2 linked regions of the Schizosaccharomyces pombe genome follow. The gene in region 1 interacts genetically with each later gene. Each region holds a gene or a part of one and is shown in the gene's direction. Other genes may lie near its edges.

Region 1 (10,095 bases):
TCACCACCAGCTTCATGCGACTACAAAATCCTTGCTTCCCTAGAAAAGCATTTTATCTGTAAATAAATCATTGATGCTTATATGTATTTTTGAAAAAATTTATTTTGTTAAAGAAATAACAAGTAAATGTATAATTAACATAAAACCGAGCTAAATTTATTGCTTTTATTATGCAAATATTACCTACTGGCTAGTAAATAAAGCGAAGTAGTCTGCATTAGAATAAAAAATTTAAACACAACAAAAAAAAAAAAAAAAAAAAAAAAAAAAAGATGAAGGGAATAAATCCCTCAAGCTTAGGATCTAAAATTTTTATCCATTCAAAATAAACTCTAGCATATAGAATTTGTCACTGTCTACTGCTATCCATATATACTCGAATGAGTATTTGGGGTCCTTTGAGTTTACGGTAGTCTTACAATAGAAAATGCTGCAGTCTTCTAGTTATGTATTTTTTGACTAATTTTTTTTATACTTTTTTGCATTTTTTAATGCTACACGGACCTGAGTTGGTTTGCTTTGAAATTGCGTTGATTGTTAGCTGGCGCATACTTACCAACCTACATCTTAAAACTGGCCTGCTGGTAAACAAGCATATCCGAATAATAATTACAAAGAGCACTAAATATTAAATAAATGTTCACACTTTTGTAGATTATATAAAAAAAGACTCTTTAAATGGTGAGATCGATTAGTTCGGTGCTTGCTAAAGAAGAAAGCGAGAATGGGAGTCCAATTCCAGCTCTCGAGGAAGGGAGCGTTTATCATGTCTCTTTGAAGAGTGAAGGTGTTTCTCCATTTTCTGATAGGATTCAATTAAATTATCTTTACGATGGGAAGACTTTTAGCGATCCTTCGAACTTAAATATCCATCAGCAGGAAGCATGTCTCATAAACGAACTCTTAAATGCATTTATGGGCATGGAGGGTGTATTTGTACATCTCCAAGACATGAAAGCATCCTCTGAGTTTGAAACCATTATTATGCCGCCATCGTTTTATATTCTTCCTGGATTTGATTTAGGTATAAAGGATATTGCTTCTGAGATGTTAGAGATGGGGTCTCATTATTTAAGTATCACAGCTTTTATAGAATCGAGAAGCCATTTTGAATACGGATTTGTTAACCACGCATTGTGCGCTGCTTTGCGAAAGTTTGTGATGGACTACGTGGTACTTATCATGCAGTGTGAAAATCAGAGCCGAATTGATCCAAATTTTTCTCTTCAAACTCTTCGCCTTTATACTCTTCCCACATCGCGTTCATTACGACAAGTGTATTTAATTCTACGTGACCTGCTTTTGTCTATGGAAAAGAATGCTTCCAGCAGCGATGATTTAGGTCTTAGTAACATCGACGATCTTTTAGAGCAACTTAATGAAGGAAATGACATTTCACATGTTGTTAATGCCACTAGGTCTAAGAAAAAGGTTTGTAAAGGTGGGCAAGTCATTTCTTTTTTGACCGAAAGTCTTACGAAATATGCGGGTGATCCTGTGGCACGAAAAATCCTAACCTATTTATTGCGCGAAGCTTCACGCCCTTATACAAAAATGTTGAATGAGTGGATCCATCTCGGGCTCGTAAATGACCCATATGATGAATTTATGATAAAAATACACAAAGGAATCACATCTATGCAACTTGATGAAGACTACACAGATGAATATTGGGAAAAACGATACGTGATTCGAGAGGATCAAGTTCCTCCACAATTGCTTGATTTACAAAACAAGGTACTCTTTGCAGGCAAGTATTTGAACGTCGTTTTAGAGTGTAGGAAGGGAGTTAATAACCTGGCTTCGTTAAATGCAAAAGACGATACTCAAAACCAGTTGCTCTGGCCTTCAACCTTCGATGATGATAACTTTACTTTAAATATCATGAATGCCTATGTTTATGCAAATGAATCTCTCTTGCAATTACTCCAGTCTTCACAGTCTCTTTACGCTCATCTGTACTCGCTCAAACATTATTTTTTCCTTGATCAATCTGACTTTTTTACAACATTTCTTGACAATGCTCAACACGAGCTACGAAAACCTGCAAAGTATATATCTATCACGAAGTTGCAGTCGCAATTAGATTTAGCCCTTCGTCAGCCTGGTACGATAACTGCGACTGATCCACATAAAGAATACGTGACTGTAGAAGTGAATCAAACATCATTAATAGACTGGCTCATGCATATTGTAAGTATCAGTGGTTTGGAAGAAGGAACATCATCTCAGGGAAACGAAGTTTGGAATGAATCAATCACGAAGCAAGCGGATGTGGGCAATGAAACTCGAAATTTTGAGAGTGAACACAATCGGAGCACACAGGGGACTTCAAAAGTTGGTAGCGATAAAGATATTAATGGATTTGAAACGATGCAACTATGCTATAAAGTTCCATTTCCCCTTTCACTTATTTTATCCCGCAAAGCTATTATTCGATATCAACTTTTGTTCAGATATTTTCTTTTACTTCGTCACGTTGAAATGCAACTTGAGAATAGTTGGGTGCAGCACAGCAAGAATAGTGCTTGGCGTCTCAATTCCTCCAATGCGAAAATCGAACAATGGAAAAGGAACAGCTGGTTATTAAGGACACGAATGCTTAGTTTTGTTCAAAAAATAATCTACTATACTACAAGTGAGGTGATTGAAACACATTGGGGGAAATTTATGGGAGAACTTGAGAACGCCCGAACTGTGGATAATTTAATGCAGGAGCATATCGATTTTTTGGATACGTGTCTAAAAGAATGCATGCTTACTAACTCGCGATTACTTAAAGTACAATCTAAATTACTTAATACTTGTGCTATGTTTGCCTCTTATACTTCCACGTTTACCCGATCCTTATATTTGCTTGAGAATTCCGAAGAAAGCTTTGATGAAGGAAGAATGGATAAGATGGAAGAAATTTTACGCCGGTACGAAGACAGTTTTAGTCGTCATTTAAAATCCTTAGTGAATGCTTGTAACTACTTTGCAAGTACTGAGACGGCGGCTCTTTTAAGTTTAGTAATGAAATTGACGGGATAACTAAGAAGAGACAAGATAAAACAAGGCAAGGTAGAAAAACTACAAATGGAACAACGTTACTATTGTTTTATTGAGATATGAAGAAACATCTGACAAACAGCAATGGAAATTGGGAGAAAAACTTTTATGGATATTTATATAGTCGGTTTTTGGATAACCTTATCTTTGACATCTTGTTGCTTGTACTCGTTAATAAAGAAATGACTTGGAGTGAGGATCTTGCGGAATGGCCAATTATCTTCATAAACAAGCATTGCTTATCCGCAGTATACATTGGTCCATTTTCAGTAGTTTGGACTTTTTTTTGGCCAGTTGTCACACTAAAAGCGTACTGCACTATTCGGTTAAAAATTGACAAAAAGACGACTGCCATTGGCCATGAATTTAAGAATGATTATGGAGAAAGGCATGGCGAGCGTTTAATATGCCAACACTTGTGTTATATAAAAAATAATCGATTTTTTAAAATGTCTGAAACAGGGTTTGCTGATAATGCCTGAGGAATGGTAACTTGGATTTTTGATCGCTAATTTTTTATTAGCTATGTCGCTAAATTTAAGGCAAGTCGGCAGTATGCCGCGTGATTGAGGAAGAACGAAGAGAGAGGCTAAGCATTTGTTCCTAGTCTAAAGAGCTATCGATTGATTTTGAAGTGATACAATGTATGCTAACGTTTGTACCATAGACAGCTATAGTAATGAACTTTGTTATGTGAAGAAGTACAGTTGCTACGACAGTAATGATGATGATGTATGTATATAAAAACCAAACCAAGGTTTAATTTAGGTGGTTATAGTATTGTATACGCAAAACTATTCATTTGTGTGCACTCGTAATGAATTTCTAGTAATTGTATTTTGCAGTTAAAAGTTTAATGGATGCGTAAACAAAGGAACAGGTAAGCTAGTAAAGCGCATACAAAAATTGTAATATCGAAGGAAAACGTCAATTTAGATTAGTGTAGGATGGTTATTACGAAAGGATAGAGTTACTATGAAAAGTGAGTACAGATTGTATGATTAAGTATGGGGGCGATAGCTGGGTGTGAGGCAAAGGAATCATATGACTTTAGAATTATCGCATCAAGGAGTAAGAAAAACGAAAACTTATCTCACAGTGGATTGCCCAAAATTATCAATCCCCCACCATGTAAGAGGAAACAAGAGAAACAGAGAGAGGGAGAAAGAAATAATTAGAAACTAGCAAATATACTTTACAGATTACAAATGGACACGATAAGTAAGTTAAGATGAAATAAAGGGGAAGATAACAAGGAACGGAATATAAAAGAGCATTTCGAACCGAATGAAACATTTTAAGCCGAATGTATTGAAATCGAAATATTTGAATTGAGAGATTTTTATTTTATCTGACTAATGATGAGAAAGGATAGAAGAGAACAAATAGAATAGAAATAGAACTAAAGATAAAAAATATGAGAACCAAAATAGCAAAACAAAAAAAGCTAAATACTAGGTAATTAATAAAAAAAAATTTAAAAAAGGATTTCTAGTAAGCGTACTACTAAAACAAGTTTAAGGATTTGATGAAAGATTGTATGTTAGAAAAATTTTCATCCTCTTTTTTTTTTTTTTTTTCTTCAAACTTCATACAAACGTAAATATCTCTCAAATTTTGCAATACCGTCCTCTTCTTCCTCGTCGATTTAGATCCGAAATTCTCCTTGGCAGCAGGGGACGGAAAATGAAATAAAGTGTTTTAGCAATTGGGATCGCGAAACCACCTGCTAGAAAGTGTTTAGGAAGAGAGTCGCCGTTCGAAACATAGCGATAACGAGTTCAAGAGCAGTATCCGTAAATTCAGAGGATTAGTGAGTGCCAACACTTCTTATAGATTACGGATAGTAAGCAGTAGTAGATGAAGGATGATGGATAGGTGGATGATCGGGGTGGGAGAAAGTAGGGAGACAGAAGGAAAATGGAATGTAGCTAACTGATAATGAAGAGAGAGAGAGAAAGATTATTTCGTAGATAAAATTTGGTGAGCTTTGACAAGATAAGTTTTGTTGGAAAAATTATGAAAGTATGCAAGAGTGTGAAGAGTAAACAAAAAAGAAAAAGAGACGTTATAAGAGGAAGGATGAGTTTGATGATCTTTTAATATCTAACGAACATAAAAAACTAATGAATGTAATAATTAATAAATGAAGCAAACTAGCGAATGCAACACCACCTATTGATTGCTTTATTTATTTATTTTTTTGCTTGACAAATACCCTTTGGATTTACTCACTATCCATCTTATCCACCGTAGGGGCCATAGTAGACTCGCCTTTCGGCAGCCTTAAAAACGCTACCCTATGTTTCGGGTTTAGGGTGTGAATACGCTATCCATCTAAGGGTCCGTTCGTTTATCACACCCAAATCTTGATGTCGAGGATCTCAGTCTTCAACGTCACCATCTGAAAATTTACTCTTGTTGGGTTGTTTCGCCCGACAAGACTAGACCTAGCAATGACAAGCAAAGTAGAGAAAGTAAAGTAAAGAAAACAATAGAAAAGAAATCAACAAAAAAGCAAGAGTAGAAAAGAGTATTAGCCGTTTCTAAGATTTTGAGCAGCGACTCTCTACAATGTTTACACTGTTTACATTGTAGGAATAGTCGCTTGCAATGAATAGCTGCATCGCTACTAGAACTATTGCATGTGAAACAGTAAATACCAGACTAGAAAGATGAGAAGACCACTAGAGAAGAAGGACTAGAGGAGAAAAGGGACTAGAGGAAAAAAGGAACTAGAGAAAAAGGACCAGAGAAAAAATGATTAGATGAGTAAGTGAGTTAGAAAAAAAACAATTAACCACAAAAAAAAATAAATAAAAAATAAAAATAAAACAATCAAGAGCATGCCTTATTTGTCAGCAACCTTCCTTTATTAGACAGCGTCAACACATCTCAATACAAAATCTTCATCTCACTTCCTCCTATACTTCAACACAGCATCTTCCACCTTGTCTTTTTGCTTGCCCCGCTGCCGCCCTTCAAGCTCGTCGGTACTTGTTCTCATATTCGGTTTTACCTCGGATGCTGTTACCTCGATACCAGGTTGGGTCACCTAATTTTCTTGCAAAAGTCCGTTATCCCAAGTTGTCCCAAGTTGTTCGGTCTTGCTAATTAAGGGGATCATCACCCTATCTTGACCCGTTTAACGCAAGATAACACAGAATCTTTAAGACTAAAAATTGATGCCAACTTGATATAAAACGTGCTTCGTTCGCTCTTTTTTCTCTTCCAGCTCGCCTCTTCAAGCACTTGATCCAATTACGACACGAGAAGAAGGATAGGAACCAGCGTAACTGGGAACAACTAGCAACTATTACGAGCAATATCTTTTAAAGTCCTTAGACACTCTTGTTTACTCACTGCTATCCCATACTCATACTGCTGCTTGCCCAGTACTATTTGTTACTGAAGAGTGTTGTTGATATTGCCATTCCTACCGCTACTACAACCACCACAGTACCACCACCGCTTTTTTTACGCATCCTTTCCCCATCTCAAACGTACGGGATAATTCTCTCAAAGCGTGGAATCAAACCCTTTGTTTTAATTGTTTTTTACTCGTTCACCTGCTATTTGGTGGGCTGTCTGACTTTTGTTTTCTCATTGGCTAGTTGGATTGTTGGACAAGGTTGTCTTATCATTGCATCGATATACCTCATTTCCACCCGTTGATTGATCAACCCTTGTAAACTTAGCCTTTGTTTGCTATAGAAACGGCTTAGTCACTTGTCGTTCTTATTTTGGAAATCGTTCTGTCTTTTCCCTATATCGCCTACTTCACGTTACTGTTAGTTTTGATTGAGCGAAGCAGTTTTAACGATACGAATCAAATTGAATTGAATTTTTTTATTCACAATCCCAATCATCGTCTTATTTTTTTTTAAACCACCATCAATCTTCCTTCTTACAATCCAAGTGGTTTTGCTTTAACTTGGACTTTGTGGTTATTATTGGTTTTTTGTATTTATAATAATTTTAGGATTTCGGGTTTACCTTTTTTTGTTGATATAATATATATCTTTTTACTTAGAAAAAGAAAAGAAAGGAATATATACATTTCCAAAGTGTGAATTACTTGGTTTCCCTCTCTTTACTTGTTTTTGTTGCTACTACTACTACTACTACTTTTGTTGTTCAATTGGTCTTGTCGTCGTTTCTCGGTCTTTCATTTTTACTCAGCATCTTTTTAATTGTCTTTTTTTGGTGACATTTCCTCTCACCTGTACTATCTGCCCCGTTAGCCTATACTATTCGTGTTTAACGTTTTAAATTTTTTCCTTCATTGCATTTGTTGAAGTGCAGTTTATTTGAAGAAAAATTATTTTTGGCTTTGCTTTTTTTTCGCAATCGTCTCTTTCTTTTCAGCTTTAACGTTGTATAAATTAGATTAAACCTTTAAAAAGAGAGAAAAATAGATACCTAAAGACCTTTTGCTTGGCTTGTTTTATTATTTTCACAAAAAAGTTTTTAATATTTTTTTTATCTTTTCTGGTTTTTTTATTCTTATTTTTTATCTTTTCTAATCTTTTTTTTAAACTCTTTGACTTTAACATGGCTCTTAATAGTCAACCCCCTTTGTCCCCCAAACCCGTTCCCTCCAATACCTGGAAGCGGATCGGCATCGATGCATTTGCCGCTACAGCCGCCAGTGCCATGATTTCTCCCTTTATCTTGACGATCGACCGCTCAATCGTCGAAAATACTAGTGGCCGTTCTACTTTATTACGCTCTGTTAGTCGCTCCATCAAATATGTTTTATCAAAGCCAGGCGCCTTCTTTTTTAGCGCTCCCTTTGCCCTGGTCTTTACATTATACTCGGGCACATATATGACGGCCAATTCCATAGACACACTGGATAACATTCGTCACAAGAATCCCGTCTTCAAGGCGGAAACTTCCGGCTGGTTTAAATTCTGTTCTGTCACCGCTGCAAACAGCGGTTTATCCATCTTGAAGGATAGTTTCTTTACCAAATTTTGGGGCACCGGTTCTCCTCGTCCTCTCCCTTGGTCTTGTTACGGTCTTTATGGACTTCGTGATGCACTCACCATCGCCTTTTCCTTCAACATACCTCCTATGATTGCTCCATTACTCCCCGGTGGTTTAATCACCGCTCAATTGCTCACCCCCTGTGCCGTACAGTTTATTAGCACACCTCTTCATCTCCTGTCCCTTGACATTTATAACAGAGGTGGACCTAACATATCAGCAGCCAACCGCGTTATGCAAGTTCGTAAGCATTTACTAAAAAGCACATTCGCCCGTATGGTTAGGATTCTTCCGGCTTTTGGTATTGGCGGTGTTACTAATCGTAAATTACGAACCACTTATTTGGATTCGCTTCAACAACGTACTATGAAAAAACAACAATTTGCTCTTGCTTAGTCCATACATGACGTTCTTTCCTTTTTCTTTCGGCTATTATTATTATTATTATTTTATTATTATTATTTTTCATCATTTTTTTATTATTCACTACTGAATAGTGTCTAAAAAGTGTGTGGACTACGGTTTAAACCTATATAAGGAAAGTGGCATACATCCTGTTATCTGGAACATGAAGCTGCATACTTTTTTGAATGAACTATATAGTGTATGTGTAATGAAGGTTTCACTTAAAAAAGTTTTCTACTTGATTTTTATGCGTCTGAGTTTTTTCTTTGTCTGGAGAAGAATTTGAAGAAAAAAGAAAAACTGCAAGAGAAAATAAAGAGGCAAAGAGACACATGGTTTTCTTTTGTACATTAATAAATAAAATTTGAATTCTATTTTAAGTCATTTTCGTTTGTGTTTAGTATGGTTGAGTATCAAATTTGTGTATGTCAAAAAACGAGCAACCGTAAAGACCGCTTGTTTAGCAAATTTATTCTTTTATCGTTCGTTTACAAACAGCTTTTGCCGATAGTGTTTTACGGTCTTTGAATGGGCTTTCGGTAGAAACCTAAAACCGATAAACAGAGTGAGATTATTTCTTTTTGCATTCCAATGTTGACCAGAAAGACGATAGCTTATTCCTATCTACTAGCTTACTGAATGGTTCAAAATGTACCGTACTACGGTAGCCATATTAATTGGTTCGTCAAAATAAATCCTAAAGTGTATAGCAACGGTTTTTTCAAAGCTCACCTACTTTTTACTGATCGTCATTATAATTAGTAAAACAATAAACACCTACTAGTAGAATCGCCGATTTACCATAATTTCGTATTGCGCTTAATTCTCTTCCCGAGGTATTTTGTTATTGCGATGGCTTGCCACAATAAATTAACTATTGTACGATTGCCGTCACACTATTTCTATCTAAAAATACTCTCATTCCCATTCCCATTTTTATCTCTCCATCCATACTTACTACATATGTTGGATATCTATATCTGTCAAACTTTAACTTCGTTGAACATGCTAATTAACCAAAATTAATACATGAATTTATTAAATAGTTTTTTATTAATTAATAGAAATTTTCAAAAAGTAATCATTGAAAAATCGAACTATATTTTTTTTTTTTATATTATAGCAGTATATAGGTGCAGGAGTTACCAGCGACCAGGTATTAGCGTTTGCCAAAACAATTAGCTTTTCTCCCGAAAGGATTGCTTTTTGAAGTCAATTACTTTAGAAGCTTTCTAGCATCTATTTGATTGTTCAATTGGCATGGTTATTGTGCTCATCATATAAAGCGCAGTTGTTTCATTAATTAAGTATCTTAGCCTACATACTTCATCTTGATTTTTATAGATTCTTTAGAGTATTTGGATAAATACTTGACTTTTTGTTTAAGAGGCTATAGAAACCCTTGTTTGAGTTTCTTCATTTTTATTGTCTCGCGCTTTAGTGTATCTGCTTCAAAGTGGTTCAAGCTAAAAAAGCATAGTACTGTTTCGCTCTTTATTTCGCATCTGCCTATCATCAGACAATTCTGTTGACTCACTCGTTTTTTACACGCACATTTACCCTTGGAATAAAAGGCGGATTAAATCCCGAAGTTGAACACTCGTAAAATTTGGTTATTATATTTTTTGCATTATGAAGACTTATGAA
Region 2 (10,095 bases), 1.6 Mb from region 1:
CTAATCCTACTGACGAACGCCATTGTATAAATTCGGCGAGTTTGGAATTCCATAATGAGGCAACAAATGACAATTGAACTAGATTATGCTTAATATTTCTGTATTTTCTTTATTAGATGTTAGCACCAGTTCGAATTGTTTGTGCTTGATGTACGGCTATTATTTTATTTAAAGTTGCTTGTTCACGTTTTGGTTAACTTCAATAAAATGCATTTACTTTTAACATTTTAAACTAATATATTTTGTTTTCAAAGAGTGTAGTAATCTCTAGGTCAGAAATTAGATTTACTAGCCGTATGTTATAACTAAGCTGCTTATGCCAAAGTTAATAAACGATAACACAATGTTTACACTACCTGATATGATCTTCCATTTATTTCAACTATAAAGGGTATAACTAAAGTATCCCTCACTTAAATATTTATTAATTTGCGTACGCTTCATAGGTCATTGAAAAATTTTCGTTCTTTTTTCAGAAGATTTTAAGAAAGGAGTAAAAGATGCGTGGACTACAATAATACGCGAAGGATCCGAAAATGTCATTACATTATACTGAATAAGTATAGGATGATTCTCCTTTTACGACGAATCCAGCAATGGCTTTATATATTGGCACATTTCCATCCGTCATGTCAACCACCAAATGGATGGACTGATTATCAAGAGCGAACAGTAGTACAGTACGCGCGACGTTTTCACGAGACATCATACAATTTATGGATATCTTACCCAATGCAACTTTTCCAGAACCCTTCTCGTCTGTCATACCAGAAGGACGTAAAATCGTCCAATCAATATCACTAGAGCGTCGCACTAATTCCTGATCCGCTAGGTACTTGTAATGGTAATAAGTTCCAATTGACTGATGTATTTTCTCACTTAGCTCTATATCAGCAGCCGTATAGTAAGGAGGAGGAGGTTGGCTCATATCACGATTATCTATCGCAGATATCATAATTAAGCGTCGAATACCAGCTATCCTCATAGCATCATAAACTTTTATAGCACCTTCATAATCGACGGCTCTTGTTCGTTCAGGGCCGCCTTTACCTCCTGCACCGGCTGCAAATATAACAACATCAGGGTGTATTTCAGCTAAAAACTGAGCAATATCATTAGGCGTCGCCTTCTCAAGTGAACAGACAGAAGTTCTGCCATGCACTTTTTCAATGTCTTCATTCTGAACATAATCACGTACAACATTGTAAACTATATGGCCAGCTTCTGTAGCAATTTTAGTAAAAAGCAAGGCCACCTTTCCATGCCCTCCAAAAACAACAAAAACAGTCATTTCTTACAAAATAAAAATGCTGACGATGATTTCTTTAACCGTTGGGAATCAAGAATCCAATATATCCTTCTCCCTTATTGAAAAAGGAACTTAATTAGCTGATCCTTTGAATAAAAGCAATGGCAATTGTTAAAATGAGTAATTTTTAGAATTGGAAATGCTGTGTATCTGTCAAACCCCTCTTAAAAAAAGAAAGGAATAAGGAAAATGAAAACAATCTACAAAATTGAATCGAAGAGACACACCACAGGGAATGAGCAAAAGCACGGTTTACCTAATTAGTAGTACCGAGTTAATTATGTGACGTTTTCAGTTTTTGTATGGTAAGCTCTAATAGTTTTAACATGATGTAACGATGCAGTAAAATAACTAGCCAGATATATTGTGCTCTTTTTAACTTTCGCTAAAAGTTCTTGGGGTAATACACGGAAAGTGCATCTGGGCACTAAAATCATTTAACAGGTTGCTTATTATTCATTCAGTAATTGAAAGTCGCCCAGATTTGTTATGTTTACCAGTAATAGCAATGTTTAATTCTTTGCACATAAAACTCCGTCAAGGTTAAGTCTGAATCTTCTTTTGCTTATACGGGATAATTTGTTTTGATAAAACTAACATTATCGATGTTACCTTTAAACGTTAGTCGTCTTTTGTTTGCTATTTAAATGTCTCGTATGATAAATTGATTGATTAAAAATGAATTGTATAGAAAGAGCAATTTTTTCGACAAAATAGGAAAGTATATCATCCTCATTAGTGCATGTCGAATTGCAATAAAGCTTGATCGTATAAACCTCATTTACAAAACTGATTAAGACATTTGATTCTTAGTTGTTTACAGTGGTTTAATATCTTTCTATTTGATGCCGCTTAATAAAAACAATTGGTATAACTTTAAAAGTTGTTAGGGAATATTGAAACAGTTTACTTTAAAACTTATAAGCAATGACTGAAACATGCTTAAATGCCGGGCTTAGTATCAAAGATAGCCTTATGATTTATTTGTTTGATAGCTTGAACCCAGATATTGTGAATTTTCTTGCTTTTCGCTTTTAAGACGATGGGCTTATCAGTTGTCTGCATCACAATAACTTCATTATGTAAATTGGCGTTCTTTAAGGCATCTGGGGCTTTTATAATAGTCATTCCCTTAATTTTCACAGACTTGACTTGATTTTTCCTTCCTTTTTCAATAAATGGATTTGTTTTAGACCAGCACAGCATTTCACAATGCGGGTTAATCCAAAAATAGCGCCAATGACTCTTTTTAAACATTTTGAAACTCTCACTTCTCGGGTACTTCATCATTTCGTTTCCCATCATGACATGTTTCATCAATTTGTTCACAGAATTTGCATTACAAGTTGAAGAAGATAAACCTGATAGATTCAAATTATCTCTGCATTTTTTCGTATTTGTTTTGCTTTTGAGATTATTGCGAGGTAAGGTGAATACGTCTGACACCGTCGACAAGGAAATAGAAATCGTCGTAGCCGTACTTCTTGCTTTCAATTGACGTGCTGATTGCGAGGAATCATGCCGAGTTTTTTCAACTTCAGCTGTTGGATAAGTACGAGTATTCTTAGGTGCAGACGGATAAGTTGACGCCTCCCAATTATTATGTTTTGTAAAGTCTTTGAAAAGCATTGAGGAAGTTCCGTTTGAATGTCTTGAAGACATATTAATGTCCAAAGTAACATCAGAAGTTTCCAATGATTGACGTGAAGCAATTGAACGATTCTTAAACATCGAGGATTGAGCAATTTTTTCCCATTGTTCCCAGTCATGCTCTTGATATGGGATCTTTCGAGGAAAAACTGCCTTGCCTTGCCTCATACAATTCATAGATCCATTGGAACATAGCTTTTTCGAATTCCTAACATTACTGTGGGAAATATCCGTAGATAATCTAAAATTCTTAAATTCAGCTATTTCTGGATTACTATAGTGGCGCAACCTCCGACGAGGAATCGAGCAGTCAATAATAGCGCTAGTTAATTTTCTTTTCAACCTCGTGGTAGCAACATTTGAAAGCGCATCGGTCCTTAGAATGACACTATTAGCTGATGTGTCATTTACTTCATTTTTTATTAAGGAAAAAACAGAGCTGATAAATTCCATATTCTTTTGCAGATTCCACTGCATGGAGATTGTATTTGCACCACATACAAAGTCTTTGACATTTTTTAGACAACAGAAGTGATTCTCCAGAATATCATGTTGTATACGGTTTAATACATGATTTCCATAGGAATTTAAAATAGGTTTAACAAGCCTATAAGAGGAGACGCGATTGTTTAAATAATTTTCACGTCCACCTTTGTTTAATGCAGGCAGGTAAGAAACATCACGTTCGTAAATAGAAGAATGATTTAAAATGTTTTCTTTTAGTTTGAAATTAGCAAATTTTTCAGTATCTTTCAAATGCATCTCAGTACTTGCAGACATGTCGCATTTTGAAGAATTCGTATCTATAGGAAATTTTTGGCGAGGTTCAAATTGAGCCAATTCAAAAATTTCCTGGCGATCTGAGCTTTTAGTCGGTTTGAAAAGTTTAATGACTTGTTTATTTTTTGAGTCAATATCTTTTATTGAAATTTGAGAGGTGAGAGATTGAAAGAATGACTGAATAAGATGATTCAGAGAAAGTGGGTACAAGCAAGAAAGCTGAAAAAGGCCCAAGTTACTTTTCAGCGCCTTTTGTAGTTGCTGATAAGACAAAAGGAAGCAAATAAACTCATCATCTCTGTCGGTTTCATCTTCGATGTCTATAGAGTTTTCTGGTGATACTGCCTTGTTCAGAGACCTGATTGATTTCTTTATGTCAGCTTTTGTGTTTTCAATTATTTCCGATGATAAATTTGGAGACGGTGTTTTAGTATCGTCAGCTACCAAATGATTTACACTCACTAACTCCTGTTTTGCTAAATTGATGGATTTGAGAACGGCCGATGATTGAGATACCGAAGTTTGTACATTGGATTCCAACGACAAAAAAGGATCTATTGGAAAATCGTGTTTCTCTTCTTGCTCCGCATCAAAAGATGAACTATCAAAATACTTATCCGAGGAAGACTCCAAAAATACAGAATCGTCGTTTTCATCCTCAGTTACCAAAGTATTTTTAGAATCTTCACTTTCATCTATAGTTTCGCCTTTTTCGGCATTCAGTTGAAGCTCGTGAAGGCAAATTCTTAAATTTGTTAATTCCAATGTCAGTTTGTTCTTCTCATCGTTAAGTGAAACGGTCAAAGACTCTACTTCTGTCAATTTTTTCATTAATCCTTGTAGTCTTTGTTCAAGCAAATCCCTTTGTCCTTGCACCTTAGTCTTCTCTTTCATAAGTGTTTTCATGTTTGAAGAAAGTAGATCAAGTTGCTTGATTAAATGGGCATTATCCACTGACAACTTTTTATGCAAATCTTCTTTCTCTGACAGTTGCAGCCTTAAATACCGCAACTGTTGCAGAAGGTTTAAGCCAATGTTAGTAGCATATTGTAGATTGGTTTCAGTAACTGAATATTGATCTACTTGAGAAGACTCACTGAAGCAATTTGTGTTCTTCCTTCTTTCAATTGCAATGTCTTGACGTTGAATAGTAAGCATCTCCGTAATTCTCACCTCCTCCTCCGCTAAATTTTTTTCCAAGTCGCGTAATTTATATCGATTATCAAATTTGTTATTAAAATATGTTTTATTTTCCTTTTGAACCACTTGGTCTTTAATTTCTTGTTCGATTTTTCGTGTTTCACAAAGAATGCTTTCCTCTAACGCTTTCGCATAAGCAAGCTTTATTTTTGCACTTTCATTTCTATTTTTTAAATCAATTGAATATAATTCCACCTCGTTATCTTGTTTTTTCTCCATGAAGGATCAGTATATGTTTTGGTAAGCTCAACTCTCTTTGTCTTTTATATATCGATAAACTCGTAAGCATGCATATCGCAACAGTCATCGTCTTGAATACATAATTTTTATTTCTGGAATTATATCAATTCAATTCGTGTTCTCATTTGGCAAATTTCTCGTATTACGCTTTAACAATAAAACTTAGTAAAAGCAAAAAAACTGTATTTATATTGATGCATTTGCTAGAGTACTTGAATATCTAGCGAAGCTTTAGCAGCTTTCAATATATATATCGGTATAAATACCATTAGTTTGTACTTAAAAATTAACTATTACTTTACAAATGTACCCTGAGCCTCATGATTGACTTGCAAAAAATTGATTTGACGAGGCTACACATGTGTTTAGACAATAATTAACTTTATTTATATTCATATTTAGTTTATTTACTATTTCGAAAAGATTTAAATGCTAATTGTAGACAGTATAAAACGTTTAAAACACAACTCGATATAAGGATTGATTACAGCATATACACCGAGCGGTGAAGTACTCATCGTTAAAATGCATAACGTCCGTTAATGATATTGTTGTAAACAGATACCGAATTACAATGAAAAATAGTGACTGAAAGCACCACGATCACGTATATAATAGTTATTTGACTCTATAAAGAACATAATTCTGCCATAACACTTCAAAATTATGCACGTGAAATATACATAGTACACTGCTTAACAAATCTATTTGTTATATTTTAGGCAAACCAAATAATTAAGTAAAGCGGCATTGCCATTTAATGAGAAATACATTTATTAATAATTACAATCTTGGTGCAATCTACGGTATTGCATTCATTCACCACCACGTTTGAATTTCGTCTTCACTTTTGAAAATTTGGTGACGAACGCCAACGTCGTAAATTCGAAGCTGACGTCTACCCTTAATCCGCCGTAGAAATGGATTCTACGAAGGAAGAGGAAGATTTAAATAATAATATTGATGAAATTTCAGATGGAGAAAATGAAGAAGAGGAATTAGACGAAGCAATTGCAGCTGCATTGCAGAAGATCGAAGTGCCATCGATTCCCAGACGTGTAAAAGTGTACGAAATGGAAGATGAAAACTGGGTAGACTGTGGCACCGGTTATTGCGATGGAAAAATAGAGGGACCGTTGGCTTATTTCATTGTGCGTTCAGAAGCTGATAATGAAACCATCCTTTTGAAAACACAATTGATTGCGGAAGATATATACAGCCGTCAAGAAGAAACTCTCATAGTCTGGCAAGAATTGAATGGTACTGATCTTGCTTTAAGCTTTCAAGAATCTAGCGGTTGTATAGACATGTGGATGTTTTTAGCAAATGTTCAAAAGGCAATATCATCGGTAACTAGAAGTTACTCCAACGATGATATATTGACGGATGAGGGGGCGCTTAATGAAAACTACCTAAACACGGTCGATCTTCCAGCCCCAGAGCTTGCTAATTTAAAAGAAATTGAAGAAGCAGTATATGGATATATGCAGTCTATTCAATCAAGAGATAGTTTGGTTCGTTATGTTTCAAATGAAAATTATATTGATAGACTTATTGAACTTTTTCCTCTGTGTGAGGATCTAGAGAATACAGATGACCTTCATCGATTGTGTTCCATAATAAAAAGCTTTGGTATGTTAATCTACTTTATACTTTTTAGATTCGTTAAATCCTTGCTAATCGCTGTCAGTGCAATTGAACGACGCCCCTTTACTCGAATCGTTGTTCTCTAATGATGAAAAGCTAATGTGTGTAGCTGGTATTCTCGAATACGATCCGGAATTCCCCAATATCAAAGCGAACCATCGGGAATATTTAATGGATTCCAAAAAGTTTAAGCAGGTGGTTCCCATTCAGGATCCACGGATTCTTGCAAAAATTCACCAGACATTTAAGCTTCAGTATCTAAGGGATGTTGTCGTTTCAAGGATTGTTGACGAACCCTCCTTTTCGGTGCTAAATTCATTTATCTTCTTTAACCAGGCTGATATTATTCAATACCTTCAAACAAATGAAAAATTTTTACATGAACTGTTTAGCATTTATGTGAATGAAGGCGAGGATGATCAACGCAAGCAAGACGGTATATTCTTTATTCAGCAGGTTTGCAACATCGCTAAAGGGCTACAATTCCAGTCCTGCTCTGCATTATTTGCTACTTTCGTTAAATTTAATCTTCTGAAAGCTTTGGATTATGCAATGTCACATGAGAACAATTCCGTTCGAAATGCTGGTTCCGATATTTTGGTGTCTATTATTGATCATGAACCTGCCATCGTTTGGCAAAAGTTTGATCAAGATCGCAAGGACGCTTCTTCTTCATTGAGCAATGCTCACGTTTCCCAACATTCGTTGCTTTCCAATTTAATTAACATTTTGCATAAAGAATCAAATCCTGGAGTACTTGCTCAAATTTCTGAAGCTTTTAAAATGCTACTAAGTTTACCTGGTAGCTATGCATACAATAATCCTTACAGAAATGCTGATGGAAATGTTCGAAATAAAACCGATAACATTATTGGAATTAATTTTATTGAAAATTTTTATGATAACTCTTTTAATATGCTTGCTGCTCCTTTATTGGAGCTGGAAAATGTATCGAGTTTAGATGTTAAAAAGCTTGATATGTATATGCATTTGTGTGAGCTTTTTTGTTATTTTTTTCGTATACACGATTATTGGTCTCGTCGTTTTGATACATATAAAACCCTTACATCAAAAGTGGCTCTATTACTATACAGCGATAGAAAATATGTTGTTTTGAGCGCCCTTAGATTTATTCGCTCTTGTTTGGCCGCTCGTCAGTCAGAAATGTCCTTGATCATGTTAGAAACTGACACATACGGAAAAGTTCTGGACTTGATGTTAAAGGTCAAAGACCAAACTAATTTAGTCAACTCAGCTGCTTTAGAGTTTTTTGAATTTTTAAGATCCGAGGGATCTGAAGATACACTGGATTATCTCAATAAAAACTATCGACCACAGCTGGAATCTTTAAATAATCTCAGTACTTTTTCTGAGCTTTTAAATATAATAGATGGCTTAAGCTCTGACTCAAGAAGCCCTAAAACTGTTGGGACTCATGAATCAAATAGTTATGAATTTGACGGTGCCTCCAATAATAACCAACGTGTTGGAGACGACGTATCCAAAGATTGGGAAATACAGCAAGATTTTTCTATTGAAAACGATACTGAATTATCAGAAAAAGTTGGACAACGTACTGTTCTTGATTCTATAGCCCCTGCTGAGCTAAATATTGAAGACAGTTGCGAGCAGCCAAAGCAACCTATATTAGAGGATCGTTATTTCCTTGAGTCTGCAGTTTATGATACCTCTGCAGAATCTTCAGGTATTAATGTTTCAAACACCCGTTATTCTAAAAGGAAATCGGATTTCCAAGTTGATGATCAGCAAGCTGATGATGAATCACCAAAAAAGAGACTCTCTATCGATTCAAGTTCTGCCCAGAATGGCTACGCTTCCTAGAAGATGAACATAAAAAGGGAAGCTCCAAAAACTCTAGAAGATTGTAATGCAAGTGAATCATCATATGGACATCGTATTTTTGTTCCCGGGTTTATCATTGTTTTGAAAACTCATCTGTATAATATAAACGATTTGGGTTGTTCATTAAGGGACTTTTAAAATAATAAATACCAATTTTCATGTTACTATCGTGGTCTTGTAGTCTCGGGATAATTGTTTACTTAACGCTGACGAATAATTGTACTTAGTAGGCTTAAAAATTAAAAAAAAGTATTTTATATTAAAACGGCAATTTATAACTCTTGAAAAACAGAGGGATTTATATAATAAACAAAAAGAGTGTGAAGTCATTACAAACTTGAACCCAACTCTATCTAAAACTATTTCTTTAAAAACAACGACGTACCAAACAAGGCAAAAACCAAATAGCTATCAGTGATTGCCAAGACAATCATAATCAACCAATTCATAAATCAAAAATAATTTAATTTTAATGAACTGATTCTGCAAACTTAGGATGACATTTCGCTAAGGATATAAGGGATAATTACTAGCGAAGCTTGTAAGAAAATCAATAAGGATTCGATGATACGGACGGGCATAAGCAAAGCAGGACCAGACAAGACATATTGGTAAATACCATAGAGACAGACGGCATAGAAGTGGCCGATAAGATGAGAAGGGCTATGGTCTAAACCGCCTAATAAACGAATGGGACCTTCAACACAATTACCTCCACGCTTGAAGTAATCGATACAGCCCGATTCAAGAGCCTTCATATAGCGATTTTTAGGGGTAAACAATTTGTACAAAGCAATGGAAAGAACGTTGATTACAAAACTGTAACCCTTACGCTTCCAATGGAATTTGTTCATTTGGTTTAAAATGCGCTCGTAGTCTAGAAGATCGGGAACAGCGGAAGGGGAAATGAATCGGGAAAGAAGATAGGCATCGTGAAAGCAAACAGTCATACCACCGCCGGTAAGGGGATGGCGCATATTGTTTGAATCGCCAACGAGGATCATACCTTTGGTACGGTTGACAGTGGGGGGTAAAAATTGGTTAGGCATGGACCTAAGACGATCGTTATAAACAGCGGCCTTGAGGGAAGGGCGAAGCTTTTCGGGCATGTTTGGGACGCATGATTCTAAAACGTATTTTTTAAGAGTCTCCATGGGGGGTAAATTCTTACCAGGGTAGTTGATTAAGATACGAGCTTCAGTAGAGGAAATTGGGTAAAGGACCATAGGAGCAACCTTGCTTAAAATTACATGACCACGACCAGGAGCGATGTAATCGGGATTGGTCAAAATCAAGCCCAAGAAGTGATCGGTGACTTGGATAGGGTGATCGATGAAAGCCTTTCTAAATTTGGAAAAGCAACCATCACAAACAATGGTCAAGGGAGCCTTGTACTCGACAGGGGA

The links.
Region 2: mutations in SPOM_SPBC365.16 (region 1) and psy2 together harm fitness more than expected from each alone (negative genetic interaction), as found in Schizosaccharomyces pombe (one large-scale study listed by BioGRID).

What each region holds. Positions count from the first base shown.
Region 1 is NC_003423.3:2,523,383-2,533,477, forward strand, and holds SPOM_SPBC365.16 (uncharacterized protein), read left to right. Parts: upstream 1-6,284; 5' UTR 6,285-7,605; coding exon 7,606-8,439; 3' UTR 8,440-8,832; downstream 8,833-10,095. Other genes in the region: gamma tubulin complex GCP2 subunit Alp4, read left to right, coding at 679-3,033; ccr1 (NADPH-cytochrome p450 reductase), read left to right, coding at 10,081-10,095.
Region 2 is NC_003423.3:893,138-903,232, reverse strand, and holds psy2 (serine/threonine protein phosphatase PP4 regulatory subunit 3 Psy2), read left to right. Parts: upstream 1-5,818; 5' UTR 5,819-6,099; coding exon 6,100-6,811; intron 6,812-6,869; coding exon 6,870-8,668; 3' UTR 8,669-8,861; downstream 8,862-10,095. Other genes in the region: peptide-methionine (R)-S-oxide reductase Mxr2, read left to right, coding at 1-77; SPOM_SPBC216.03 (uncharacterized protein), read right to left, coding at 548-1,291; dynein-anchoring factor Num1, read right to left, coding at 2,252-5,158; squalene monooxygenase Erg1, read right to left, coding at 9,181-10,095.